Linked DNA regions of Elephas maximus indicus. The protein of the gene in region 3 interacts with the protein of the main gene of each other region in a pairwise test. Links are inferred from orthologs where the notes say so. Each region holds a gene or a part of one and is shown on either strand. Other genes may lie near its edges. The genes, in order: ENTREP1, ARRDC1, WWP1 and ATN1.

Region 1 (6,980 bases), on a different chromosome or scaffold from region 3:
TGTCACCACTGAGTGGGAGACAAGGACACACCCAGCCAGCAGGCCCTGGAGTAATACCCTTCATCTTCTGGCTGATGGCCTTTTTTTATACTTTATCAAATCCAACCGTGGCTGGACTGGTATCTAAGTGCATTTACCTGAAATAATTCAAAAATGGTTTTTAATCCTAAACTAGCTGCGTTTGAGAAGACAACAGATTATCATTTCACAAAGTGCAAATACCTAAAAATGTATGCAAGAGTCATTGCTGGCCCCTGGTATTTAGGGAAATGAAATGCACAATCCATTTGGCCGAATTTAGCCTGGCAAGTGGAGTAGGGAGCAGGAAGGATCTAATTCCCACCCTGCTTGGAGGAGGCTTCCTCCTAGAGTCTATAAAACACTCAGGGGCAATCGGCAGAGCCCAGCAGCAGGGTGGTGAGGGTGGGATTCTGTTTATATGGTGTACAAACTGTGAACTTTGCTCATATAGCACAGGATGTACCAGACAGAGATCAACATCAAAGTATTTCAAAGGAAAGCAAATTGGCATCAATTTCAGGATAAAATGTCAGGCCAGTGTCGAGGAGCCTAACGTTCTTATTCCAGGAATTACTTTTGGTTCAGATTAGCCCTCCTGATATTAAATTTTGGTCTGGAATCTGCATATGTGTCGACCTGGAAAAGAATGGCTCTTCAGCTTTCAGAACATGCATACCTTACAGATTTCGGGGAAAAACTACAGGCCACGCCAGCCCTTTTAATTTAGTTCAAAGAAAGGTCATTTACTTTAAATACTCATCTCTCACAATCATCCTACCAAGACCTGTTTCCAGGACTCTCAGCACCCGGCCAACCTCAAGGGGTTGGATGTCTTAGGAGTTGTGAAATGGTAAGGAGGTAGGGGTGAGTGTCCACCCAGTGTCCACGGACACTGGCAGGCAGCAGCCTTTGTCAGAGGCCTCTAAGTGTATTTACCTCTGAAATAACTCAAGGGTAAACTGATTTGGGCTTTTAATTTTAGAAGGCACCCTTTTGCCCTGGAATCAGCCTTCCCGGTTAGAGGAGACAGAGCTGGGTCCTGGGGCTGAGCAGATAATTCCAGGTAGCTGCCTAGCTCCTGGAGCTTTGCCTAGCTCATTGATAATGACAGGCTCAGGTTCCTGAGAATTAAACACTGCACAGCAGCCTGTGTGGCTCCAGGAACCCAGTGGGGGCTTTAAAAAAAAAAAAAAAAAAGGCCCTGCTTTAATGACCAGGTACAAGCACTGGCTTACACACACCCCCTCATTACCTCCTGAACTTGTCCCCAAATACAGGCGAGCTATCCTACATGAGATACATTTCACATTTACGTGTGGACTAACAAGGAATAAAGGAGCCCTGGTGGCGCAATGGTTGAAGTTCTTGGTGCTAACCGGAAAGGTCTGAGTTCAAGTCCACCGGCAGCTCCGTGGGAGAAAAGTCCTGGTGACCTGGCCCTGTAAAGATTACAGCCTAGAAAACCCTATGGGTCACTTTTACTCTGTTGTATAGGGTCACCATTAGTCAGAAAGAATCCAGTCCACACAATAAGGACAATGAGGAATAAAACAAGTGCCCCCCATCAACCTGTCAGTTCATTCATTCCACAAATCCACCTACTGTGTGCCAGGCACTGTTGATACATCAGTGAACAAAACAGATCAAAACCCTTGCCTTCCCGGCGTGGACGTTGTCAGTGCACTATTGTAAACACTCAATCTTCAAAAGGAGGTTAATTATTTTCCTCCGGCTTTCCTGTCATCACACCCCCCCCCCATCCTTCCAATCTCCCAAAGTGCTGGAAATTTTTGTTTTATACTAGTAACTTGACAGTAACAACAAAATCCTTTAGCCTGAGAAGAATCTGCACTGCCCAGGCGCAACCCCATTCACCCCTAAACTCAGTTGTCTCCAAAATCTTTTTCTTCTGCTGCTCCCAATGCCTCCAAAAACTTCAGCTGGCCTTACGGGTTTGTGCTAACTGCAGCCCCGCGGGGAGCGGCGGTGGTAACCAACGGACGGTGATGGGAACCAGCCAGAGCCCTCTGCCCCATGACCGGCCCTGCAAAGGTGAGCGGGGGGCGCGCTGCACTCACCGAGGAGCCCGCCCAGAAAGGGCACGAGTTCTTCACCTGCGGGGAGCTGCTCAGCGACAGCGCCCCGAAGCTGAGTGCCACCATGCAGCAGCCCAGGATCAGCTGCAGAAGCCCAAGCGACAGCAGTGGGCGGGCGGGCAGCAGCGCGGAGCCCGGGGCCGCGGCGGCGGCGGCGGCCCGGCGAGAGGAGAGCGCGGGCGGCGCGGCCAGCACCCCGGAGGTGGCCGTGCAGCGAGGCCGCGCCGGGGGCTGCAGCGCGGCCCGGGGCCAGCGCGGCCGCAGCGGGGGCAGCGGCGGCTCCTGGGCGGCGGCGGCGGCGGCGCCAGGACCCCCGGCCTGTGGTCCGCCTGAAAGCCCGGCCACGGGGCAGCAGGAGCCCGGGAGCACCACGGGCAGGGACATGGACCGGCCGGGAAAGGAGCGGCCGGCGGCGGCGGGGAGGGGACGCGGCGCTGAGCCGCGGGCGCCGCGCACTGGGCGCTGCGGGTGGGCGGCGAGGCCGAGGGGAGGGAAGGAAATGCGCACGGCCCAATTATTTGCTGCCGCCGCCGCCGCCGCAAACCCGGCTCCCTCCGGCCGCACCCACCTGCCGCCCGGCGGGTCCGCCTCCGGCCGGCCCCCGGCCGCACCCTCACTCTCACCCACCCACACCCACACGCGCCCTGCGCACGAGCCGCGCGGGTAGCCAAATATGCCTCCGTCTTCGGGTCACAGCCGAGCCCGTACCCGCTCCCTGGGGCCCAGGAAGGGGACCCTGCACCAATTTTTAGAATAAGACCCTCGAACGGGAAGGGACTGTGCGCCAGGGCACGGCCGACAGCGTAAGAATCTGTCCCCCACTCGCAGAGTTGAGGCTACAGAGGCGCGTAGGGGAAAGCGCTGTGTACCCTCACCCGGGTAACCGTACAGCCAAGAGAGCAACCCGCGGCAACCTTGGACGCGAAGGGAGTCCGGCTTTAAACTTCGCCCCCCCCCTCACCCCCCCCCCCCCCCCCCCCCCCGCCCAGAGCGGGGATGTCAGGAAGAGGAGCTTTGGGAAGAGGTCTAAGACGCAGGGCTTCGGGAAGGACGAGGCTGCGAGAAGTCGCTGCTCCGGGGACGCAGGACCTGCCTGGACGGCATCTGCTTGGTGTTTCCCGGCGCTGACACTGCGCTGAGGTCGCACCTTCTGGAGAGGGGGGAGACTGGGGGTTTCCCGGTACCTGAGTAGGAGCGAGCGTGGGAAGACTAGGTTACACTTGGAACAAATACACAGTATCCAGAAAAAAAGATCAGGGAGTGGCTCTAAGCGCTTAGCAAGGGTTACACTCTGTCCGCCTCGCCTTGAAACACAAAATTCCGGACTTAAAAAGAAATATCCTAATAAAATTCTAATCAGCGTCCTCGACTGCTTTTGGTAATTTATGAGACATCTTTAAAACTTATTAAAAAAAGTGATGACTTGTCTTTGCAAAATGATTTCCTCTAATAGTATACTTTTACCTGGGAAGAATTCTAATCTGTTGAAAAAGTGTTCTTACGCACAGAATGATTCTAATTGATTTTTCTAGATAAGAACCAGAGCAGTGAGGCTTGCAGTCAGTCAGCCCCAGTATTAGGCAGTTTATCTTATCAGTATGGTGGGAGTATTTAACGTTCTCCTTCCTAATTAACCAAAGGAGAGCTTTACCAGTTTTTATGCTCTGCTTGCGAAGACTGTATTTCTTTCTTTCATTACTTAATTCAATACAAAATGTGATGTACAGGCAACGTATATGTGTGCTTACATGTGCATTTTTTTAATTATTAAAGCACCTGGGATTAATACTTCCTGACTTCTTTTTTGGAGCCCTGGTGGTGGCTTGGTTAAGAGCTTTGCTACTAGCCAAAAAGTCAGACATTAGAATCCACCAGCTGCTCCTTGGAAACCCTGTGAGGCAGTTCTACCCTCACCTACAGAGGTGCTATGAGTTGGAATCATCACAACCGCAACCAGTTTGGTTTTTTGCTTTGGTTCCATAGTTTTCTACCACAGTTTACTTTTTTGTTGTTGTTACTGGTCACATTTATATTTGTTTCTTTTTCTGATTATTGTAAACATGAACCCATGTAACACTGCCGCAGCCTTTAGAGCTATGCCACATAACTCCTTTAAGTAGTTGGCCTTGGATTTCTGTCACCCAACCTTGATTCTTTGCATCCCCTAAACCTCTGCTTACACTAAGTCCTTAGTTTACCTGATCAAGCTGTATGGAACTGATCTCTTAGGGGATGATTCAAAGCCATTTCAGGATGACTTAAAAAATAAAGTGAGGAAGGGCCTCACTTAAGAATTTGGCCCAAATACTTCATTAATGTAGGTGAAAGTTCAAGGAAACAATGGTTGTAGTGTATTTATTGTCCAGTGGAACTCAGTTGCCAGTTTTTCCTCATGATGAAAGCGAACTTGCAAGGAGGTTCTATATACCTCCCACCGGATATGTATCTTATTTTCCACTTGGCGCACTCAGGTATAAAGGCTCTTTTGCTCAGATTTCTCTGGACCCCTTTAAACAAATTCCTCACTTTCTCCCACCCATTTCCAGAGGACCTTAGTTGTCACCTAATTAAAGGAGGCTGCTCCCTGTCAGAAGGAGCCCTGGTGGTGCAGGGGTTAAGGTGCTTGGCTGCTAACGAAAAATTTGGTTCGAATTCACCACTGTGCTCCTCAGGAGAAAGATGTGGCAGTCTGCTTCTGCAAAGATTACAGCCTTGGAAACCCTCTGGGGCAATTCTACTCTACCCTACAGGTTTGCTATGAGTCAGAATCAACTGGAAGGCAAGGGGTTTGGTTTTGGTTTTTTGGTTCCCTGTTGATGTAGAGAGCTGCTGAAGACACTTGTGATTTCAAACCAAACCTGCTTCCATTTGTTATATGTTACAGAAACAGAAGAGCTTCCCTGAATTTAAGGCACAGCAGACTCCAGAAGTTGGTTTTGGTTTTTTGGTTCCCTGTTGATGTAGAGAGCTGCTGAAGACACTTGTGATTTCAAACCAAACCTGCTTCCATTTGTTATATGTTACAGAAACAGAAGAGCTTCCCTGAATTTAAGGCACAGCAGACTCCAGAAGTCCCCATTTAGCATGGTGGGCCTGGAGCAGTATGGTCCACAGAGCACAGAATCATGTCATGTAGGGAACGTGTTAAAATGCAGGTTCCCAGGCCTACCCCACACCCATGGAATCTGACTGGATATGAGACCTGAAAACCTGCATTTTAACAAATGCAAAAACGCAGGAGTGTGTGGCACTATTCAGACTCTTTTTATATGGAAACTGTTCTATGGGAGAGGACTAAAAAAAACCATTGTCGTCGGGTCAATTCCAACACACAGTGACCCTATAGGACAGCATAGAACTGCCTCATTGGGTTTCCAAGAAACAGCTGGTGGATTCAAACTGCTGACCTTTTGGTTAGCAGAGGTAGCTCTTAACCACTACTCCACCAGGGTTTCCAGGAGAAGACTAGGGGCAGCAATTTTGTTGGAAGGGGAGTCTAGATGATTTGGTTTGAAACCAAACTTAGATGTAAATTTGTTGGGGGGAGGGCTGTTGCTGCCCCAGCAGGCACTGCTGCTCAGGTGACTTTTATGCACAGGAAAGAGCTAGCCCCCTGGATTCTAATGGACAAAGCTCCATTAGAAGGCAGACCTTCTGGGCTCTAGCCATGCCCCTCTCCCCACCCCTACTGGCTTCCATGGCCTCAGTTGCTTCATGTGTAAAATGCAGGTTTGTGATACTTTATCTGCCTAAGGCTGGGACATTTTATTATTTGGAGTCCTGAAGGCCTGCAATTTTGAAGTTCATCCATTCTCATCACCACAGTTTCTCAGATTACTGGCAAGAGAATAGGGGCTAAGAAAAGCAGGTGAACTTGAGTGTGGAATAGTTAAATTTACAGACCCAAAATATCCAGGACAAAACCCAAAACTCGCTAGTCTAAACTTGAAGGCATCAGGTTCCATGGCGTTGTGTTTTCCCATGAGGTATGTGTGGTGTGAGAGTTTGTGCGGGGGGGGGGGGGAGGGGGGATGGGTGAGGGGCAACTTCAATTATGTGTTTTCCCTTTGAAGGGAAAGGGCTGTGTAGCGTCGTTTCTGTTCTGATGTGTTTTAATTGAGAGAATGAGCTGAAGAAAGAAAGAAAAAGAAACCCTGCACAGAGCTGGATGAATCCGGCACTACATTTTTCTGAAATAACGATACGGACTGACAGCTAAGAATTCCTTAATGCCACTGGCCCCGAGATAGATTGCAGCCATACTTTTCTCATTGTTGAAGTTCAATGCTGGAAACTTTTTATGAATGCAGATACCACAGAGACAATTCATGTTAACTGCCCTAAAAATTGTTCATGGCACATATATATGTGTGTGTGTGTGTGTGCGTGTATAGGTGTTGTTGTTAGGTGCTATCAAGTAGGTTCCGACTCATAGTGACCCTACATAGAACAGAAGATAACACTACCCGGTCTTGCGCCACCCTCACAATCATTGTTATACTTGAACTCATTGTTGCAGCCACTGTGTCAATCCATCTCATTGAGGGTCTTCCTCTTTTTCACCGACCCTCTACTTTACCAAGCATGATGTCCTTCTCCACAGACTGATCCCTCCTGATAATGTGTCCAAACTATGTTAGATGAAGTCTTGCCTTCCTTGCTTTTAAAGAGCATTCTGGCTGTACTTCTTTCAAGACAGATATATATATATGTAAAACTCCTTGCCATCAAGTCGGTTCTGACTCAAAGCAACCCTGTAAGACAGGGTAGAGCTGCCCCATAGGGACCAGTTGGTGAATTCGAACTGATGACTTTTCGGTTAGCAGCCATTATACATATGTAAAAATGTGTGTCCTCTGAGTG
Region 2 (7,443 bases), on a different chromosome or scaffold from region 3:
AAACTTCTGCTAGGGAATCTCCTTAATCAGCCCACAAGTTAATTAGGTACATTTTCTGTCTTCCATGTTACCAGTCTGTATTAGTTATTTAGTGCTGCTATAACAGAAACACCCGCAAGTGGATGTTTATTCTTTCACAGGTTAGGAGGCTAAAAATCTAAATTCAGGACACTAGCTTTAGGGGAAGGCTTTCTCTGTCGGCTCTGGGGGAAGGTCCTTGTTTCCTTTCAACATCTGTGGGCCCAGCATTCCTTAGAGATCTCCACGTGTCTTAGCATCAATCTTTCTGAGTCTAGGAGGTTCATGGTACAGGTACCCTGGTCCAAAGGACACACTCTACTCCTGGCTCTTCTTTCTTGCTGGTAGTGAGGTCCCTCTCTTCTCTACTCCCTTCTCTCTCCTTTTATCTTATAAAAGATGTGACTCAAGCAAGGGTGTGACTTTAGCACAGGCAAGTGACTCAAGATACAGCCCACGCTAATCCTGCCTCATTAACATAGAGTGGTTTAGGATTTAACAATACTGGGAATCATGGCCTAACCAAGTTGACATATATTTTTCTGGGACACGATTCAATCCATGACACAGTCTCACCAATTTTTCCACCAAGAGATAACATGGTTCACTGTTTCTCCAGCCTACAGTAGCAGGCTCATGGACCTTCCAGCACCCTCCTGCTGCCTGGCCCGAAAGTCAATGCTACATTTAATATTTTGTTATGGTAGTTTCTCACTTGTAAGTACCAATTTCTATTTCAGTTTTTATCACTGCATAGCAAGCTACTCTAAAATTTAGTAGCTGTCTTAGTTATCTAGTGCTGCTATAACAGAAATACCATAAGTGGATGGCTTTAACAAAGAACAGCCCCATAGAGTTTCCAAGGAGCTCCTGGTGGATTTGAACTGCTGACCTTTTGGTTAGCAGCTGTAGCTCTTAAACCACTATGCCACCAGGGTTTCCTCTCACAGTCTAGGAGGCTAGAAATCCAAATTCAGGGGCATAGGGATTGGAGAAAGACTCATTAACAACCTGTGTTATGCAGATGATACAACCTTCCTTGCTGAAAGTGAAGAAGACTTGAAGCACTTACTGATGAAGATCAAAGACCACAGCCTTCAGTATGGATTACACCTCAACATAAAGAAAACAAAAATCCTCACAACTGGACCAGTGAGCAACATCATGATAAATGGAGAAAAGACTGAAGTTGTCAAGGATTTCATATTACTTGGATCCACAATCAACAGCCATGGAAGCAGCAGTCAAGAAAAAAAAAGACACATTGCATTGGGTAAATCTGCTGCAAGAGACCTCTTCAAAGTGCTGAAGAACAAAGATGTCACCTTGAAGACTAAGGTGCGCCTGACCCAAGCCATGGCAGTTTCAATCGCTTCATGTGCGTGTGAAAGCTGGACAATGAATAAGGAAGACTGAAGAAGAATTGATGCCTTTGAATTGTGGTGTTGGCGAAGAATATTGAATATACCACGGGCTGCAGAAAGAACGAACAAATCTGTCTTAGAAGAAGTACAGCCAGAGTGCTCCTTAGAGGCAAGGATGGCGAGACTGCATCTTATATACTTTGGACATGTTGTCAGGAGGCATGAGTCCCTGGAGAAGAACATCATGCTTGGCAGAGTACAGGGTCAGCAGAAAAGAGGAAGACCCTCAATGAGGTGGATTGACACAGTGGCTGCAACAATGAGCTCAAACATAACAACGATTGTAAGGATGGTGCAGGACTGGGCGGTGTTCCGTTCTGTTGCCTAGGGTCGCTATGAGTTGGAACCAACTTGAGGGCACCTAACAACAACAGCTCCAGGGGAAGTCTTTCTGTTTCTTATTGGCTCTGGGGGAAGGTCCTTCTCATCAGTCTTCCCCTGGACTAGGAGCTTCTCATCACAGGTACTCCAGGTCCAAAGAATGTGCAGTACTCCTGGCTGTGCTTTCTTGGTGGTATGAGGTGCCGATGTCTCTGCTTGATTCTCTGTTTTATATATCAAAAGAGATTGGCTTAAGACAAGATCTAATCTTGTAGATTGCGTCTTGCCTCATTAACATCAAAGAAGTAGGATTTACAACACAGAGGAAAATCACACCAGATGAGAAAACGGTGGACAATCACACAATACTGGAAATCATGATCTAGCCGAGCTACTAATCGCTAAGCCACCAGGGTTTCCACTTTGGAAGAGTGGAAGTGAATTCCCCCGGCTGAGTGTCCTTCTCTACTGATAAGCTTCCTGCGCAAAGCAAGCTGAGAAAAAATTCTACAGAAGTAGTTTAAAAGACTTGGGTTGTTAGTAAACAAAGAGTATTCCAGCCCAACTTTTGGAGTCAGTAGACCTCTATCAGCAGGGGTGTTTGTTTTAGATTCTCTTTGATTTGCATGGTTCTATTTTTCCAAACCAAGATGAGTTTCATTATGTATAATCTTCATAATGACCAATATTATTCAGCTCTGACGAAAAAACAAAACTACAAAAAAACAGAATGACAAAATATATGTAAAACTTAAACAACTGTTTTGCTTAAGCAATTCACTTAGTACCCTATCAGACTCAAATTTTGGAGAGCCTTTATGTGTTCTGAAGGAAAACAAAGTAAGGATTAATCATGTAGCCTAGAGTAGTAACTGATGAGGGAAGGCCTTAACTAGGGCCAGGAGCCGGAGGGACAGGGCGCCCAATATATTCTGCAGAAACATGTTTTGCACATATGAATAAATGTGCAGTTGCATTTAAAACACAAACAAAAACAAACCAGATTCTGGTCCTCCTTGTCTCAAAGCCATCCGCACCATCCCCCCATGTGGCAGCGAGGTCATCTGTCCCTACAGCTTCGGACCCCGGCGCCCTCCCTGCCCCCGGGCTTGGCACTTGCTGCTCAGGTGCGCCCATAGCTTCAGGGCTGGATCCTCCAAGGCTAGGCAGCGCGGTGCACACAGCAGGCTCGGCTGGCACACCTGCGGGACAAGCGACCTCAAAGCCTCTGGCAAGAGGGGGACGCTGGCCAAGAGTCAGTAGGGCGCCCGGACAGGGGTCCGCCGGGGAGCGGAGGAAGGGTCAGCGAGGTGCCGGGGCTGGGGTCGCCGGGGAGCGGGGTAAGGGTCGGCGAGGTGCCCGGGGAGGGGTCTGCCGGGGAGCGGGGTGGGGTCGCCGGGGAGCGGGGTAAGGGTCGGCGAGGTGCCCGGAGTGGGGTCGCCGGGGAGCGGGGTAAGGGTCGGCGAGGTGTCCGGGGTGGGGTCGCAGGGCCTCCCGCGGTGGGGTCGCCGGGGAGCGGGGTAAGGGTCGGCGAGGTGCCCGGGGTGGGGTCGCCAGGGAGCGGGGTAAGGGTCGGCGAGGTGCCCGGAGTGGGGTCGCCGGGGAGCGGGGTAAGGGTCGGCGAGGTGCCGGGGGTGGGGTCGCAGGGCCTCCTGGGGTGGGGTCGCCGGGGAGCGGGGTAAGGGTCGGCGAGGTGCCGGGGGTGGGGTCGCAGGGCCTCCCGCGGTGGGGTCGCCGGGGAGCGGGGTAAGGGTCGGCGAGGTGCCCGGGGTGGGGTCGCCAGGGAGCGGGGTAAGGGTCGGCGAGGTGCCCGGGGTGGGGTCGCCGGGGAGCGGGGTAAGGGTCGGCGAGGTGCCCGGAGTGGGGTCGCAGGGCCTCCCGCGGTGGGGTCGCCGGGGAGCGGGGTAAGGGTCGGCGAGGTGTCCGGGGTGGGGTCGCAGGGCCTCCCGCGGTGGGGTCGCCGGGGAGCGGGGTAAGGGTCGGCGAGGTGCCCGGAGTGGGGTCGCCGGGGAGCGGGGTAAGGGTCGGCGAGGTGCCCGGGGTGGGGTCGCCAGGGAGCGGGGTAAGGGTCGGCGAGGTGCCCGGGGGCGCGGTTACGGGGTCGCCCGAGGGAGAGGTCCGCGGGCGTCAGGGCCGGGGCGGCGATCGCGGATCCCGGCGGCCCGTCCTCCCCCGCGCGCGGCGTCCTCTGGACACCCCCGGCCTTCCGTGACGCGCTTCCGTCTATTCTCGCGGGGCCCGGGGCGGGGCGCGAGGGTCCCGAGCGGCAGCTGGGGAGGGGCGGGCGGCGCACGCCGGCTGCGGCCGCGGGGAGGCTCCAGTTGCGCAGCTCGGGGCGCGTCTGGGGCCGAGAGCCGAGCGTACGCCCCGCCCCGCGGCCCCGCCCCGGGTCCCGCCCAGCGACCCCGCCCCCAGCGGCCCCGCCCCCGACAGGTGAGCCGGCCGCGCCTCCCGGGGCAGCAGGGGGCGCCCGTGCGCCCAACCCCGCCAGCCGCGCCGGACGCAAAGCTGCTGAGCTCGGCCCGGGCCGGGGGCGGGTCGGCGGGCGGGCGGGCGGGCGGCGGGGCGGCGGCCTCGGAGCGCTGCCGGGCGGCGGGCTGTAGTGCGCTGCCGGCCCGGCGCGGGCTCGCAGCATGGGGCGCCTGCAGCTCTTCGAGATCCGCCTGAGCCATGGCCGCGTCGTCTACAGCCCGGGGGAGCCGCTGGTCGGGGCCGTGTGCGTGCGCCTGGGCGCGCCTCTGCCCTTCCGAGGTGGGCACCGGCCGGCGGGGCTGCGGGGGTCCCCTCGCGGGTGGGCCGGGCGGCCTCAGGTGGTCGCGTCCGCACCTGGGGCGGCTGGGCGGGGCGCCCGGGACCCCGGAAGCGGCGGCGGTGCCTGCCGGCCGGGGACGCGCGTTGCGGATGCGCCGCCCTGCCCCGGCCTGAGCGCCAGCCGGGGGGACGGCTCGGGTGTGGCCGGCCGCCCCGCGCAGACCGCCGGGTGTTTGGCCGGGGGCTGCCGCCAGGCGGGGCGGGGCGGGGAGACCCCGGTGGCCCAGCCCGCCGCATCTGCCTCTTCCTCTCCTTGCTGCCCGGGGGCGGCCAGAGCCGCGGGCTGGGGTGTGGAGGCTCCCCATCTGGCCTAAGGTCACTCTGATTCATTTCCGCTTGGGGTTTCCCTGTCGGGGCACTTAAGGTCTGCTGCCACCCGCATCTTTTGGGCCTCCTCACCTGTAACCTGGCTCACTCTCCGGCTCCCTAGCCTGCCCGCCCAGGATCTTGCTCAGGCCCCTCTTTTCCAGGACAGTCCTGCCCCGAATGTGCGGCCTCCCGCAGGGCCCTCCTTGACTCCTGCCCTGGCTTCCCCTGCCAACTGGGAGGACCTCGCCCATGCCCACCTCCCCCTGGCCTCTGGCGCAGCCTGGCACCAGGGAGCTGAACCTGAGCCCTCCAGGCCAGTCCCTGTGGCGGTGCTGTCTCCTCTTTCACAGACATCTGGGACTTTGGGACTAGGGATTGGGTTGCCGCGGCAGCCCTTGCTAGGGCTCTTGGAGGTGCTGGCCTTGTTTGCCCATCCAAACTGCGGCCCTGTACCAGGCCCTGAGGGCAGGGTGGGCAGAGCTGCCGCCAAGAGGGTGCACCTGTGGCCCTGGCTGCCTGATTCTGGCCTGAGCCGAGGGTAGCTTGGGCATCCCTGCATGGCTCTCTCCACCTTCACTTACTCTCAGAGCCTCCTGGGGCAGTTGGCCCATCTGGACCTCCGTGTGGCCCTTGCCACCATGTGGTGTGAGGCTCCCAGCCCTGTTGGGTCTCGTCGTTATGATCTGATGTCTCCCTAACTACTTCCCTGGCAGGAGTTGGGAGTTTGGGGTGGCAGTTACCACAGGGCCAGAGGCAGTGGGGCTACCCGCTGGGGCGCACGCACAAGGGCACATGCACAGAGCCATGCCAGGTGAGATCTGGGGGATGGGAGTGGAAGGCTCTTGGCTGACCACAGTCAAGGGGCCATCTGGGCCCTGTGTGGGGTCCTGGGGTAGGGTGAAGGTGAATTACTTGGGGCCACAGAAAGCTGCAAAAGTGGCAGCCGGTGCTCTCTGAGTGGGGGAGGAGGAGGAGGACTCCCAATCGGGCCAGAAACCTGATTATTTCGGCTACAGAAGACCCGGTGGAGCACCAGGTGCTGAGGCCACTTCGGACTTCCTCTGATACTTCCTGGTATGCAAAGGGGAGGGCCACCTGTTTTTCCCTCATTCGCTTGATGCCTCTTGAGCGCCTGCTCAGTGCCAGTGAGGTCGTGGTGAGGCCCTCTGTCCCAGGAGAAACATCAAGGAAGGGAGAGCCGGATGCCTGCAGGGTGGGGGCTCCGAGTTGCTCACTAAATGCTTGTTGAATGAATGGCCCTGATGGTGCTGCAGAAGGAGTTGCTCTTGGAGCCCAGGCCAGACCCTACCCAAGGTTGGTAGTTGGTCAGGTGGGGGCTGCCCAAATTCTGGCTCTCGGGGTGGGCAAGGGAGGATGCCCCCAGCACCGCCAGTCTTCCCCGAGCTCCCTTCGTGGGACACTTGCTATTCTACCCACTCTCCATGTTTGGGTAATTAATCCTCATCGCTACCTGGGAGGTGGGAGGACTGGGTCAAGAGGAAAGCAGGTGTTCCAGGAGCAACTCTTGTGACACAAGCAACATCGAGATCAAAAGAGTCAGAGTGATGGCAAACCTTTCAGAAAGGCTGCAGCGCTCTCCACCAACAGACACCTGCCGGGTTGGTGCAATCTCTCGTGATAACCCTATACTGTCAGGGAACACTTAAAGGCTAGATGGCGTGGCTCGGTGCGAGGACGCCGCGTGCCTCCTGGAGCAGATGCTTAACTCCCTTTGCTGGGTAGGGGCAACAGGGCTGCAGGGTCACTAGTGAAGAGTGACTTAACCGTTATCATCAAAAAGGCAGAGGAAGTCTGGCTCTTCGATGCAGTAACTGCCACTGAATCGCCCAGTCCTGCCACCACCCCTGAAGGACAGTTTACTGGGGTCTCAGGCCTGGTTTCCTGCCCCCTTTGCCACCACCCTCAGCAGAGTGGCTGGTTTTCTTAGGCCAGCTGTGTCATCCTGAAGAGGCTGCAGTAGTCCCTGGCATCTAGTCTCCAAAATCTGTGTTCCCCCTAAGAGCAAAGACCCCTCCTAAAACCTCCGATAGGTCCCCCTCATTTCTTGAGCAGGACCATGTTGCAGGAACCCGATTAATCCAGCGGTTTGGGCAGGGAAAACTGTGGCCACTGCAATGGACCCAGAGCAGTGAAAACTGACTCCCTGGGGATTCTCCCAGGCTGACCTGAGGAAGCAGCAGGCCTTCTGTGGGAAAGACCTTTGCCTTTGCCCTACACCCCCCCATTTTTCCCCTAGCAGGGGAGAGAGGACAGCAGGGCAGGTTCCACCACAGGACAACAGGTAGGGCTGCTTGTTCAGCAGGGTGTCCCGTAGGACCTTGGTGTGTGTGTAAAACGGGGCTCTTGGCATGGGGGTTTGGCATGTTGGTGTTTTTATCTGGTTGGCTTTTCTGGGGTCAGGTGCGCATAACTCATTTACCTGATGCTGGGAGCTGGGTCCTCTGCTATTGGTGGACACCCGGGTATACCTAGCTTGTTGGTGTCACAGTGGTGGTGTGTGTGGCTCTGTGGGTGAATGGGTATGATCTCCTGGGGGAAG
Region 3 (7,696 bases):
TTTACTAATCAAATTATGCTTTAACCATGCTAGGAAGACTTAGCTACTTAATCCTGTGGGAGTGGGAAGGGTGTGGGGGCGGGAGGGCATTTAATAAGGGTACAGATGCTCTTACCGAAAACCTAAGATCCAAGAATCACAAAAATGTTAAAAACTAGAAGAAACCTCCCAGATTCAACCATATCCAACCGATGGTCAATCAGTCGCATTCTCTTCATACAAGAAAGAAAATCATCATTGTCAAGTGACTCGTGATGCCACTTTGCCCACTTGGTAATTGAAATACTTAAGGTAGATCATTTAGCTTCTTGGGCTAGTTTGTTCTGTAATATAAAAGAAGTAAGTGAGTCAAAATTCTATGTAAACTGTAAACCCCATCACAAGTGTGAGGAGATAAGTCTCTAAGCAATCCTCTCTGCTGTAGAGGTTCTTGCCAGGATGGGGGAAGCTGAGTTCTACCATTGTAAAAAGATTCCAGGTTAATTCTGAGAGCTGACCTCCACCCAAACCTGTCCAATGGGTTCCATGGATGAGCTTCACTAGGTTCACGGACTCCTCTGAAATTATATCCACAAAGTGCAGGTACAAATAGGGATATTCCAGTCCAGCAGATTTCTTTAGTTTCACAAAAGGTCAGTTATTCCAAAAAGGTCAGTAAACTACTGACATAAAATAACAAACATATGCTGCTTAAAAAAAGGTAAAAGCTTACATGGATATGCTCAAAATGATACCACCACTCTCCCAACTAACCTGGGTCAGAATCTTAGTTTAACATTTTACTTTCTTCATTTTTTTTCTCATCATCAAGTTCTGTCTGTTCTACACCCTTCCTCCTTTCCATTCCCATTACTGGCAAAGTGCAAAACTTTTGCTAGCTATGACCACAGCAATCGAGAGGTCTTTCTACCTCCAGGCTCTCCCTAGTCCAATTCACACTGCGGCCAGATTAGTACCACTAAAACAGAGCTTTAATCATTTCACACCCAACTTAAACATCACCTGTGAAACCTTAACCACCTACTAAATTCAAGGTCACATTAAAAACAACCCATAAGCTAGCCCAAATTTTTACTTCAAGCTTTATCACCCTCTATTCCTGTACAAAAGGTCCCTGGCTAGCATAAATGGCTAAGCATTTGACTACTAGCCAAAAGGTTGGCGGTCATGCAGTAGATGCTTAATAATTGTGCAAGAAAGTAAAAGAAATTCCAGCCAGCATGGGGTAAAGAGCAAAGATTATGATCTCTTTGAAGGTAAAAACCTTATCTGTGACATCCTCTATCATGCCAGAGGAGCCCTGGTGGTATGGTGGTTAAGTACTCATCTGCTAAGCAAAAGCTCTGCGGTTTGAACCCACCAAGCCACTGTGTGGGACAAAGACGTGCCAGTCGGCTTCCCTAAAGATTTACAGCCTTGGACACCTACTCTGCCCTCCAGGGTCACTATGAGTCGGAATTTATAGGATGGCAATGGGTTTGCTTTTGGTTATCATGCTAGGCTTCCAAAAAATGTAACTAGCTACTGCTTTTCAAAACTGTGGGGTCATAGGTCTTATAGGCAGTTATGCATTTTAAGGGAAGAACTATCTGAAAATGTTAATAAACTACGTCCCAAAGAATTTTGTGTAGCTCTCAACACTTAGCTATTAAGTTTTTAGTTTAAAAAATATTAACTATTTATAAAAAAATGAGCATTTCCAGTCACTGCTAGGTTACTACTTTATGGCTAAAGACAAATCACATGAATGAATTCTTTTTTAAAAGGTGCAATACATGGTGCACCTTGCTTGTATAATACACGTAGGGCCTTAGTGAGTGGTAAAGTGGGTTTATACATAAGTGAACTCTTGCAGACAACTGTAAACCAGGTATTCAAGGCAAAAACACAAAAGGAATAAAAAAAGATAACTTTGGACATTTTCTTGTCCACAACTATTACCAACAGCATTTTCAAGCAGACACTCAAATCTTTTTGCACACTGACCTACACAAAAAAGGTTAGACTTCTCAAAGAGAAGCAGAAACCCAATCAAGCCATTGGAAAAATATTCTATCCAGAAGTAAAAACTGCAAAATAATACTTATTTTCTTTGACAATGAAGGCGTCATATTATTACTGGAGCAAAGGAAGCTCAACTCCAAATCGATGGAGTAAAGAAAGCACTGTTCACACACTGCTAATTTAAAGGTTGTAAAAGCAATGGGCAAACTACAAAATAAAAAGATAAGAATGAAAGGAGAGGGTCCAAATCACAGATAAGGACTGTAAAAACTGCAAGGTCACTGGGACCTGCCAGGTCACAAAGGTGGAGGTGGGGGTTGTGTTGGGGGGAGGTGCAGAGCCAGTGAAGAACCGGAGTCTTAAGAACATGTCAGAAAAAGACGTTCTAAGGTTGGAGTCCTGGTTTTGAAACGGCTGAATTGCGGTGAAAGTCAGCGCACGGGCAAAAGTCCACATATTTGTGTTCAGAGGGGAGGTGTTAAGGAAAGGAAGAGAAGGTAGAAAGAAGGTGAAGTGGAGCCTGAGAACTGCGGCTGCAGGGTCACGGAAACACCTCGCTCCGCTCCAATATCAGCCAGCACAGGCCTCTGCCTCTGCCCCTACAACTCGGGGCAAGACCCGTGACCCCACCCCAGCAAACTCCCGGTCCCCGGGCTGGAGAAGGCGGCCAGGACGGCGCGGACCGGCACCCGACCGCCTTTCGAGATTCCCGCCCGGGCACTGGCCGCTCCGGGCTCCGGGACCGCAGCTAAGGCTCGGGGCCCGCAGCCGCGCCGCCCGCCCCCCGCCTCGCGGCGTCCTTACCCGGCGCGAAGCCGTCGGCTCCCGGCGGCCACGGCAGCGGCGCCTCCTCCTGCGGCGGGCGCCCTCACCCCTCCGCGCCCAAGATCGCCATCTCGCAGTAGACGCGGCGGCGACAGCCACCCAGGCGTCGGCCCTGGCAGCCCAGGCCGCCTGCAGCCTCTCGGAACCCGCACGCCGCTCTCGCCGACACCCGACCCTCCCCCCACCCCACCCCGGCCACGCGCCACCCCCAGGCGACCCCACACCTCCCTCCTCGGGAGCGCGCCGCGTGCCCGCGTCACCGGCGCCGCGCTCCGAGCGCGCGCCTCCCCGCCGGCCCCGGCACCGCGCGCTGCGCCGCGGCCACCCAAAGCCTCCAACTCCGGACCCGGAATCCGGCTTCTCGCGAGCATGCGCAGCGAGGGCGCCCCGATGATGCCTTTAGAAAACTCCGCTCCTCCGGGTCTTCGGAGCGGTCTAGTGGGAGGGCCTGCCAGAGGGAGAAGGGGGTGGGGCCTGAACCTGTGGAAGGGGCGGTGCCGTCGCCGAGATTTGGGAAGAGGTTTCCCCAAACTGGCGGCGGGTACTGCTGACTTGACTTTACTGTGCTTAGCATAACGGGGTGCGTGACCTCAAGTAAGTTCCTCGGGGGCACTGGTGTTCTTGTCTTGAATGCTTTACGGCAAAATAGGCTATTAATAAATACTCCTCGCTGAATGTTTGACACAAAACCCGTTTCAAGAGTAAATTGCTTTTAACAGATAAGTCATAGCAGAAGACCTCCAGTCCATTTTATTAGTTCTGTAATCAAAACATTACTCCCTCACCCCCACATCAGCCCAGCGTTAAAGCCAATACTTATGGAGCAAGTACGTGTGTTGGCACAATTAATCCACACAGCAATCCTATAAGGCAGACTCTGTTATCCAGCGGGGGGTGCAAATGGCCAATGCCAAAAGGTTAGTGGTTCCAGTCCACCCAGAGGCACCTCAGAAGAAACGCCTGGAGATATACTTCCAAAAAATCAGCCATCGAAAACCCTATGGAGTATAATTTCTACTCGGACACACATGTGGTTACCATGAGTCTGGGTCTACTCAACAGCAACTTTTTGTTGTCGTTATATGCACTATACAAACGAGTCAGCTGGTTTACAGGAGTGTTGTTGGCACTTGGAAGCAGATCCTCCAACCCCAGTCGAGCTTTCAGAAGAAAGTCACCCTTCAAATAGAAGTCAGTGGTGACCACATTTCTGATCAGATTACCTGGCCTTCTACTTCAGAAAGATAACAAAGGCCATCAGGCATGGAATTCTACAATTTTTGCCCAATCGCCTCACCCGACCTCCACAAATTACCTACATCCACACCCACGCTTACTTGTTTTCCTTCAGTCTCAGAGATTTGGGGCCCCTGCTCCTCTCCAAAGCCAACTTCTCCACTGGTCCCCTCCCTCCTGTGACCAGTCTTTAACCTCACCCTCTCTATTGGCTACAGCTCCTCAGTATAATCACGTTTCAGACTCCTCTGTCTTAAATTCTTTCTTGACCTTAAAACACCCTCCAGTTCTCTCCCTTCTTCCCTCATAACTAATCTTTTCAAAAGAGTTACATACAAACCCTGGTGGCATAGTGGTTAAGAGCTACGACTGCTAACCAAGAGGTCTGCAGTTTGAATCCACCAGGCACTCCTTGGAAACTCTTTGGAGTAGTTCTGTGTCCTATGGGTTTGTAATGAGTCAGAATTGACTCACGGCGATGGGTTTGATTTCTTTGGTTACGTACCAAGAACTGACACTCCATGAATATTTGTAGGATTCAATAAATATCTCTTCATGAAGGCATGCATGCACACTCCCCCTTGGTTGCATTAATTCCTGCCCTCTGACTTCTCACCGTATCCACAATGACCTCTCTAAGATAGACCTCTGAGCTTACCACTCCATTGCTTTAAATCTTCCATGGGCTTTTTCAGAACTTTTAAGGCAAAGATCAACATGACAGTCAAGAGTTCTTTATTGCCCACAAGCTCTGTTCCTCCTGTTCTGACAAACATTTTCCAGTTCCTGGAGTGTGCACACCCATCATCCCCCTGCTTTAACACATAATGTTTGGTCTGACCTTGTCCTCATCTTTTTCCTCTCCAGTCCCTTGAAACAGGTGCTTACAAGAACTCTCTTAGAAATTCCATAAAAATACCCAGTAGTGGTCTCCATCTTGAGAATGTATACAGGCCTCCTTCTGTTTGCCTGCTCCCTTGTGTCTCGCTTAAAGATTCCCCGATTACACACCGCTCCGTACAGCTCAGTTCCGTGTAGAAATATTAACCCTGGCCCCTATGTTGACACCCAATATTAAACCAGACTTTTATTAGCAAATGTTTGTGTGGCTTCAAATAACACTATTATAAATAAATATGTTTTTGTAAATCTTTATCCACATCCTTATTTACTGCCTTTGATAAAATTCCTAACAATAATCAAAAGGTATGAACAATTTTAGTCCTTTTGAAACATATTGGCAAGTTGCCTTCCAGAAATAGGCTAGGCTTAGGATCAAAACAGAGCTCTGCCACCCATGGCCACATTCTGACTTTATGGGCTGTAGGCACTTTTGCCTATGTGGGCCTCTTCCTCCATAAATTGTATTAAAAATTGTGTTTTACACAACATTGGTACAAAGACAAATATAGTGACATTATACATTAAACTGTTTTCTTCAACTTAAATGTTTATTTTTTTCCCTTCTGATTTTGAAAGAAAATAAAACATTTTTATGGGCCCCTAAAAGTATTACAGGCCCGAGGCACTGTGCCTATTGTGCCTAATGGATAAGATAACCCTGCTGCCACCTATAAATTATAAGACTTGCCCAAATTAATTAACCTGACTGGGCCTCAACTAAAAATTTGGTATAATGCTATCTACCATATGATGGCAAGAAGTTAATGAGTTGCTACATGTAAAATACTTAAGGCTGTGTAACATATAAGTGTAACACATAGTCAATAAATTATTATCGTTGTAATTGTTTTTATGAATTTCCCCACAGCACTGTATGAGAGAATATGCTTGTTCTTCTTCACTGCACTGAAGTCATCATGGCATTTTTTCTTATGAGCAAATATGGTATCTTATTGTTGGTCCATTGTCCATTTTCCTACTAGGTTATTCACAAAAGGATGCTTTGTATAATGAAGATATTGATCCTAGTTAAACCTATTAGTGTTTTCCATTTTTATTTTCTTCCTTTATTTTTTGCTTCACAAGTCCTTTTCCATTCTAAGGTCATATAATTTATCTGCATTTTTTTTTTCCCCTACTTGTTTGATAATTTTGCTTTTTCCCTTTACGTAGTTTAATCCTTTAGCATGATCTTTTATTTTCTCTAGATAGTTTTTCTCATAGTCTTCCTCAACGTGTTAGAGAATTCTTTTCTAGCTGTGGAAGTTCTAAAATATATCCACAAATTTGTCGATACTTTTCTCTTCGGAAAAAAAAACGGTTGCTGTTGAGTTGATTCCAACTCACAGTGACCCTATGGGACAGAGTAGAACTGGCCCATAGGGTTTCCAAGGAGTGGCTGGGCTGGTGGATTTGAACTGCTGACCTTTTGGTTAACAGCCATAGCTCTTAACCGCTATGCCACCAGGGCTCCTTCCCTTCAAAAAGTGGAGCCCAATTCCCAATGGATACAATATGGCAGAGGTGACTGTGTACCTTCTGAGACTAGGTCATAAAAAGGCATTTGACTTCTTACTCTCAGATCAGTCCCTCTGGGAGAAGGCAGCTGCCATGTTGTGAGAACATATCAAACAGCCCTGTGAAGAGGCCTATGTGGAAAGGAACTGAGACCTGCTGCCAACAACCGGCAAGGATCTGAGTCTCCTTGTGAGTGTGACATCTTGGAAGCAGATCCTCCAGCCCCAGTCAAGCCTTCAGATGACTGCAATCCCAGCTGACATCTTGACTGCAACTTCAAGAGATATCCTGTACCAGAACTACTCAGCTATGTAGCTCTCAAATTTCAGATGTGTAGAAACTGTGAGGTAAAAAATGTTTATTGTTTTAAGCCACTAAATTTGTTATGCGGCAATAAATAATAAATACACTAACCCAATGGCTCTCCACAGGAACAATTTTGCATTCCAGGGAACATTTGGCAGTGTCTTGAGACATACTGATTGTCATAGCCCGGGGTGGGGTTGCCAGTGGCATCTAGTGGGCAGAGGCTAGGGATGCTGCTAAGCATCCTACAATGCACCGGACACTCCCCTTCCACCTCTACCCTCCAGCAACAAAGTTTTATCCAGTATAAAATGGCGATAGTGCTGAGGTTGAGAAGCCCTGCACTAACCTAAGTGTCCGTTCCCCTCTCCTACCTTAAAAGTTTCCTCTTCTGCATGTGTTTGTGAAAGGGTAGGGGTATGCTTCATATCCATGGCTCATATTTTTTTTTTTTTTTTTTTTTTTACTGCCTTACATGGGATTTTTTAATATTGGCCTTATATGCTAAAAAAAATTCACTTATTAGTTCTAGTAATGTTTTGTCAATTTCTTAGAAGTTGCCATGTATACAATTGTGTCTCTGTTAATAAAGAGAGTTGTATTTCTTCAGTACTTAACAGATATAGTGAGAAAGGATATCCTTGTCTTGGTCTTGTCCTGTTTTATTAGCCGATAGAAATAAGATGGATACCACACCACCAGTTGCAAGGGAAACAAAGTGGAAATTTATTGCTTGCACAAACAAGGAGCAAGGTGAGGTCTGGCAGCCAAAAGACCACAGGCTCCCAGCCCCGGGGGAGCTTGGAGCTTTTATGCCCTCCAGTCCCTAGGGGGTGGGATTGGCACCCCAAATCCAACACCCCAGTCCCTCTCATGTCCATATTTGTCAATCCAGGGGCTGAGT
Region 4 (6,853 bases), on a different chromosome or scaffold from region 3:
AGCACAAGATGACTGTGATTGGCTGTGATCTTCATCTTTACAGCAGGGCGCCCATCTCTCCTCCCATCACAGAACCTGTTCACCACATCAGTCAGGGGATCCAAAAGGTCAAAGAAATATGAGAATGTACCTGAAGAACACAGCAATTCGTGTGCCCTTCCCCCTCACCTCAACTTTTTTTTATCAGCTGAAATCTGAAAAAATTAGCGAACAGTTGCATTGAAGAAGTAAAGCCGTCATAAAAAGGTAGGCAAGTAATCCCAGGATAAAGGGAGACGGGAGGGACTGGGATTGGACTGTATGTATGTTTCAGAACCTAGGGCACGTTCTAACACCAAACAGGTGAGCTACACTCCTTGCCCTAGCGGCCAGTCACTGTAACTAACATTTATTAATCAAAACCCACTGCCGTCAATTTGGACTTATAGCAACCCTATAGGACACAGTAGGGTTTCCAAGGAGCAGCTGATGGTGACTTTTTGGTTAGCAGCCAACCACTGCATCACCAGGGCTTCAATATTTGTAAAGCACCTACTATGTGTCTGGCAACACGCTAAGCACATTCACCTTGATTACCGTATTGCAAAGGGAAAATGATAGACCAAATTGGGAAACTGGAAAAGGGTTGCGAGAAATAGGAAAAGAGCCCCTCATTAAGAACAGGAAAAGAAATTAAGGGAGAAGTATGAGAAGGCTGGAGTCCATAGATGGTGCAAACAGTTAAAAAGCTTGGCTGCTAACCAAAGGGTTGGAGGTTTAAGTCTACCTAGAGGTGCCTCGGAAAAAAGGCTTGGCGATCTACTTCAGAAAAAGAACCAACTTGATGTCAACCGGTTTTTTTTCCTTTTGTATAGGAAGGATATCAGAAGAAATACAACTGAGTCACAAGGCTTTCTGGGAGGGATTTGCAGGGTGAATTTCAGGATCATTGGCCCAGCCCTTCTCATTCCAGACCTGCCTGACTGGCAAACCAGCTCAAAGTGTCTCCTAGAAGACAATGCAGCCCAAACCAGCACGCACTGGCCTAAACCACCTTAGAATCCAGGGTTGTCAGAAGGGCCTCAGAGATCATCTAGTCTATTATCCTTTCATCTTACAATGAAGCTGAAGCTCAAAGAAAGAGAAGTGACTTGCCCAAGGTCACAGACACAACCAAGACTAGACCCAGGTCTCCTGGTTCCCATTCCAGAGTACTTCCACTGCACCAGGCTGTGCCTCGGCCCTTTCCCCTGGGACAGCCCAGTCATTCCTACAAGGTCAGGGAAGTAGAAACTTGAAAGTTAGCTGAAGAAAAGGGTCACTGTGGGGATAGTCTGGAAAAGAGGAAAAGAGATACTCCTCAGGAAGGGAGACTCAAAGAGAAATTCAAGTTTAAGAAAACAGAAGGACTTCAGTGCAGAGAAGCAAAACTACTGTGTAAAAAAGTCCTTAATAACAAGGGAGGTAGAGGCCAGAAAGAACCGCCAAAAGATGGTATAACTTGAGAGCATTTTCATTCTCCCACCATGCCTGGGAGAAGGGACTTGGAGACGCCTACGACCTGCAAGTAACATGTCTACCTGTTTCAACAGACTGCTGGATGGAAGGGGGTGCACCCTTTGGGGAACCTCCTATGCACCAGCAGCACCAGAAACATCCTCCGGAACCCAGCCAAGAGCTAGGAATTTAGGGCCCTGATGCATCCCAAGGACACAGGCACACACTGAGGTCCAATCAAGATTCTGAACCCCCACCTAGTTGGACATCCCACTGGACCATTGCCATGGCAACAAAATGGTAGCCTCCCCCCCAAGAGTCTATCCCAGGGATCCATCTGGCACAAAGGGAGACCTTAGAGCTCAAAAGAGTAACGAAGACCTCTCCTATACAGGGACCATGGCTAGAAGCACAGTGGGTGCTCTGGGGATTTAAGGGTGGGGTCACAGCTTGTTTGAAGTGCCTATAAAGCCACCCTCCTTGAAACCCTTTCTCCTTAACTCTCCCTTCAATGCCCCTGTCTTCCTCCTCATCAGTTTTACAAAGACCCACACTACTGGGCCCCAATGCCCCTCTCCCAGAAGTAAACTGTGTCTGGGATTGAGAAAACAGGGTCAGAAGCGACCTGCAGTAAGGGAGAGAAAAATAAGTCACAAAGGCATCACCTTCACACTCCCAACCCTCAAAGCCCCTGATTATTCTTCTCAGAAATGGACCTCTCCTTGCCCATTTCTGAGCCTCCATCTCCGCAGGTTCCACTTCCCTTCCTCAACAGCCACAATCTCTCTCTTTCCACCTACCACACCCCTTCCCCATTTCCCACTTCCCTTCTATTCCTAACACCCCCAACCCCTGGCCCTGAAAGCCAGGCTCCGGGCCTTTGAGGCTTTTCCTGGAGCCCTCACGCCCCACCTCGCTGCCATCTCTCCAATCTTTTCTGCCTCTGCCCCAATCCCCCGTTTTTCCTCCACCAACACCCCCACATCCCCACCTCGGCGTTCCTCTTCTTTTGGTCCGGGGGTCCTGGCTACCCCCTTGCCCCATGAGTCCTCCTCCTGAGCCCCTCCCACTTCTCTCAGCCTTCGAGATCCTCTGGGTGCCCTGGCCCCCATCCCTCCTCGGGGCCGGCCCCACCCCCAGAGCGCCCCCCCCCACCAGCCTCAGGCTAGGCAGTGCCCACAGTAGGGGGACCGAATCGGGAAAATAACAAATGGAGGCGGCAGCGGCGGGAGGGGGAGCTGGGAGGGGTGGGGGTGGGGAGCCGCGGGCCAGAACCCGGCGGGCCGGAGGCCGGGGCGGCAGCACAGCTTACCTGGTTGTAGCTCGGGACGGCTGGCTGCCTCCTGGCGGGATTCGGGGCTCCGGCACCTCCGGGGGGCGGCGGCGGCCGCTCCCCGCCCCCCTCTCCTCTTTCCGGCTTCAGTCGCCGCCGCGACGGCGACGGCGGCGTCCCCGACCCCCCCGGAGGGCGGCCCCCATGTCCCTTTTCCTCCCCACCTGGTCCCGATCGCCCGCCGTCCCCTGAAACAAATCCCGTTGCCGCTCTCCCTCGTCCCCTCCCCAGTCGCGCCGCCTCCCCTGCCGCCCGAAAGCCGCGGCCGCGCCGCTCGCCCCCGCGGCCCGGCCGGCCCTCCGCGCCGCTCGGATCCGCCGCCGCCGCCGCCGCCGCGCCGGCCCCGCGCAGCCCGCACCCGCGCGATCCCCGGCCCTCTCGGCGGCCTCCGCCCGCGGCCCCCGCCCCTTCCCGGGCGGTCGTCTCCTTCGCCCACTCCTAGCCGCTCCCCGAGGCCAGCGGTCCCCCGAAATGGGTCCCGGCTGGAGGCCCCGGCCCGGCGCGGGGCTGCGGGCGGGCTGGGCGGCGCGTCCGGCGACTCGCACAGGAAAGCGGACGGCGAAGGGAGGGAGCTTGGGAGAGGGGGATGGGAGAAGGGAGGAAGAGGGAGAAGGAGGGAGCGCGGAGGAACGGAGGAGAGAGGGGCCAGGAGGGAGACGCGAGGGAGGGAGCGCGAGGCAAGCTGCGAGGGGGGAGAGAGGGGGATCCGGAGAAGGGGAGGCGCTGTGTGAGTTGGCCGAGACCGAGGCCGAGGGGGCCGGGGCGCGGGGAGGGGTTCGCCGTGGCGGAATGTAGGGTGCCGCCGGCCTGACGCGGGAGTAGGGCTGGCCAGGAGGGGCTGTGGGTTGTAAGGACAGATATGGGGGAAGCTGGAGAAGTTTGGGGGGATGGGGTTTGTGGCAGAGGTGAAGTGGGAGGAGTTTGGGGGTACTGGGATAGAGATTGGGGTAAAAGGGTTAGAAAGAGATTGAGAAAATGGAGCTACAAGGATCTTTGGGGACAATGAAGTGTGTGGAAATGAGGAAAGGTGAAAGAAACTTGGAGTGATTGCGTCTGTGGCAGAGATGAAGTGGGAAGAGTTTGGGGGGTTATTACCAAAGAGAATAGGATGAAAGTTTGGGGTCATAAGAAGGGAAGAAATTGAAAGGATGGAGACATATATATGAGGATGGGGTTTTGGGAAGACAGTAAAGAGTTTAAGGGGTGATTGGTGTTGGGAAAGGAATAGGGAATATAGGAATTTGGGGGTGCTTTTTAAAGGAAAGCTGGAGAGAAGATCCCAGAGGAAATGTCAGTATGAAGAGGAAAGGGAAAGCACGAAGAGCCTTAAGAAGAGGTGAAAGAGGCAGAGGAGACTAGGGTTCTGAGTGGGACAAGAGGGTGGAAGACACAGGGCTAGCTGGATGCTGGGGTTAAGTGAACTGAGGGCTTGGGTTTGCAGGGCGAGGTAGATAGAATTGGGTGGAGGGATTTAAGGAAGATTGGAAAAATAAACAAGGCCTTTGGTGGCAATATGGAGGAAGGTAGGTCATTGATGGGGAAGACAAGAGAAGGGAGAGCATTTGAAGGAAATGATAGACACAGAGGGGACGTGTCCAGGTGTGGGTAAGGGATTCAACTTATAGGACTGGGAGACCAGCCTCAGGCCCTTCTGTGTGGTGGCTTCTCTATTTTCATTCTCAAATCTGTTTGAAGTCACCACTGATTGTACCTTGGGCCACAGGGAAGGGGTCAGTGGGGATTAGGCTTGGTATGGAGCCAAATCCCTAGGTGTCCTGGTTCCCTAACTCCATTCTAAGGTAGAGACAATCACCACTACAGACCAAAAGCTCATTCTAACGCGACTCTCATTCTCCCTCCACTGCTCTCCAGGCAGTCTCTGACGCTGTCAGTCTGCCAGCCATTCCCAGTCTTCAGCCATGAAGACAGCACCCCACAAGCCGCCTTCTTCTGGGCTCCCTCCCTGGGCCCACACCAAGCAGCTCCATCTCCTAGGACAAAGGACACCAAGACACTGGGTGATTTTTGGCAGCTGAGATTGGGAAGGCCAGAGAAAGGGAGGGAGGGAGGCTGGGAAACAGGAAGAGCTGGAGCTGGAGTCTGGATCAGGAGTCCTCAGCTCTCCAGATTTGAGGTGAGGGTAGAGTTTTTGTGGGGTCAGGCCAGCCAGAGGCCCATGTTAGGCCCTGAACTGGCAGGATCCCCTGCCATCTGAGAGGGAAGGAGGTTGGCTCTGTAGAAACTCAGTAGATGTCGCCTCACATTTCCCTGGGCCAGGTTCAGCCAACACATGTCTGGGAGGACCCAAAAGCTTACAGTACATGGATTCTAAAGCACTGGGGATGGAAACAAGAAGGCTTCCTTGGCCTAGGAATGAATCACCACTCTTAAGTCCCTCAAACTGGTTAGCAGTCACTTACCACTCCATGCCCACCTTCCTTATCCCTCCCCAGCCTCCCTAAGACAAAGCCAGCCTGTCTTCCTGGGCTCCCCAGACTTCTTTCCTCAGTGTTCCAGGATAGCCCCACTCCTCCTGGCCACCCCCCTCAACTCTGTTCCAAGACTCCTCCTTCCCCCTCCCACTCCTCCGCACAGCATTTCCTCTGTACTTCTCAGTTCGGTCTCCCACTGGGCCCTGGCCCAGGCCCTTCCCATCTCCCTTCTAGGCTGAGATTTCTCTTGTTCTTTAACCACGAAGAGGTGGGCAAGGATGATGACAGATATATCTGAGCCCAAAAGGAAAACTGACTTAGGTGTAAAGTAGGAATGAGGGGGGTGGGGATAGGGAGAGGCAGCAGAGAAACTGGGGCCTACCCCCTCCAATTCCTCACCATGTGAGGGCCAGGCTCACAATCCAGCTTCAGGGAGCATTACACACACACCTCACCATCCCTCACCCCAGCTCTCCTTTCTGGCCCCAGCCCCCCACAACCCACTGGTCTCCAGGCAACGGCACAAAAGGAAAATGGAGAGAGGGGCCTGGGAGGCCCAGGCACAGCTAGCTGTAACCCAATCCAACCCAATACCTGAGGGGGGGGCAGGGAGCATGACTGTCAGAAGGCAACAGAGCAAGGAGGGAGGAAAGAAAGGACACTGGTTAGAAAATGTGGCTCAAACCAGAACCAGAGTAATCCTAATAAGTCTGGTAGTTACTGAAGAAAGATGGAAGTCATGGACCTCAGAGACAACAGAGGCACAGAGAAAGTATGGTGAGCCCCAAGAGAGGCAGAAAGTCCTGCTAGGCAGAAATGAAAGAAAGATGAGATGCCCACACTGCAACGTGCACGGAGGAGTGGGGGCAAGAAGCTCTTTGAACTGAAAATGGCTGAGGTGTCAGGGACCCAGGAGGAGAGGGCAGAAATGGGCCCTGCCTATACAGAACTGAAATCCTTTTAGCCCTGGAGCTGTACAAGACAGCAGAGGGAGCCCAGGACCAGAACTTAGAGTGGGAGGCCCACAGAGAGTACCCTTGAAATTCTTCCCACCCCGACTACAGCAGTGTCCCGCACGGTGTCGTATAGAACATCGGCTCCCTCTAGTGGCCACAGCTCCCCATGGGCAGCCCCTACCTGCTAATATGTGCCTTCCCAATCCAAGGCACTGGGCTGCCCACCCCCTTCTCCCTCTGGGTGGTCCCTAGGCTGAGCATTCCAGTGCTGGGGCTCCACAGGAGCTTAGGAGTTACAGGGGATCTCTAGCCATATACTGGCACCCTATGCACAGTCTGACCCAGCCAGAGGGCCTGTCAAGCACTTCAAGTCCTGAACATTCAGGACTTAAGCTTCCTCAGGCCCTTCCCTACATGGCCTGGTACCAGTCTTCCCAGTTCCCCATCTTGCAGGAGGTGATGGCCACACAGTCCTGCTCCATCCCAGAACCAGCCAGGATTTTGTTTGGGAGAGGCTCAGTATGGGAGCTGGTCCAGTCCACAGCTTTATACCTTTGATACTTTCAGGGACTTCTGGATCCTGGCTATATCACTTGCTGAGTCAATTCTAACTCATGGGGATCCCATATGTGACAGTAGAACTGTGCTCCATAGAG

What was found.
Region 1: the proteins of WWP1 (region 3) and ENTREP1 interact in binary tests that used the Homo sapiens proteins (3 or more experiments, as listed by UniProt). The link is inferred for Elephas maximus indicus from reciprocal best matches to the Homo sapiens genes WWP1 and ENTREP1.
Region 2: the proteins of WWP1 (region 3) and ARRDC1 interact in binary tests that used the Homo sapiens proteins (3 or more experiments, as listed by UniProt). The link is inferred for Elephas maximus indicus from reciprocal best matches to the Homo sapiens genes WWP1 and ARRDC1.
Region 4: the proteins of WWP1 (region 3) and ATN1 interact in a two-hybrid assay, tested with the Homo sapiens proteins (2 studies listed by BioGRID and IntAct). The link is inferred for Elephas maximus indicus from reciprocal best matches to the Homo sapiens genes WWP1 and ATN1.

The regions. Positions count from the first base shown.
Region 1 is NC_064827.1:84,578,706-84,585,685, reverse strand, and holds the start of ENTREP1 (endosomal transmembrane epsin interactor 1), read right to left. Parts: upstream 3,013-6,980; 5' UTR 2,502-3,012; coding exon 2,100-2,501; intron 1-2,099. UniProt on the Homo sapiens protein: Functions as an activator of the E3 ubiquitin protein ligase ITCH in the ubiquitination of the CXCL12-activated CXCR4 receptor. Thereby, triggers CXCR4 endocytosis and desensitization, negatively regulating the CXCL12/CXCR4 signaling pathway.
Region 2 is NC_064827.1:661,523-668,965, reverse strand, and holds the start of ARRDC1 (arrestin domain-containing protein 1), read left to right. Parts: upstream 1-4,514; intron 4,515-4,522; exon of another isoform or gene 4,523-5,044; 5' UTR 5,045-6,448; coding exon 6,449-6,502; intron 6,503-7,063; coding exon 7,064-7,185; intron 7,186-7,443. Other genes in the region: basic proline-rich protein-like, read right to left, coding at 2,983-4,398. UniProt on the Homo sapiens protein: Functions as an adapter recruiting ubiquitin-protein ligases to their specific substrates. Through an ubiquitination-dependent mechanism plays for instance a role in the incorporation of SLC11A2 into extracellular vesicles.
Region 3 is NC_064833.1:55,410,143-55,417,838, forward strand, and holds the start of WWP1 (NEDD4-like E3 ubiquitin-protein ligase WWP1), read right to left. Parts: upstream 3,012-7,696; 5' UTR 2,809-3,011; intron 2,803-2,808; exon of another isoform or gene 116-2,802; intron 1-115. UniProt on the Homo sapiens protein: E3 ubiquitin-protein ligase which accepts ubiquitin from an E2 ubiquitin-conjugating enzyme in the form of a thioester and then directly transfers the ubiquitin to targeted substrates.
Region 4 is NC_064822.1:63,725,996-63,732,848, reverse strand, and holds the start of ATN1 (atrophin-1), read right to left. Parts: upstream 3,006-6,853; 5' UTR 2,789-3,005; intron 2,417-2,788; exon of another isoform or gene 1-2,416. UniProt on the Homo sapiens protein: Transcriptional corepressor. Recruits NR2E1 to repress transcription. Promotes vascular smooth cell (VSMC) migration and orientation. Corepressor of MTG8 transcriptional repression.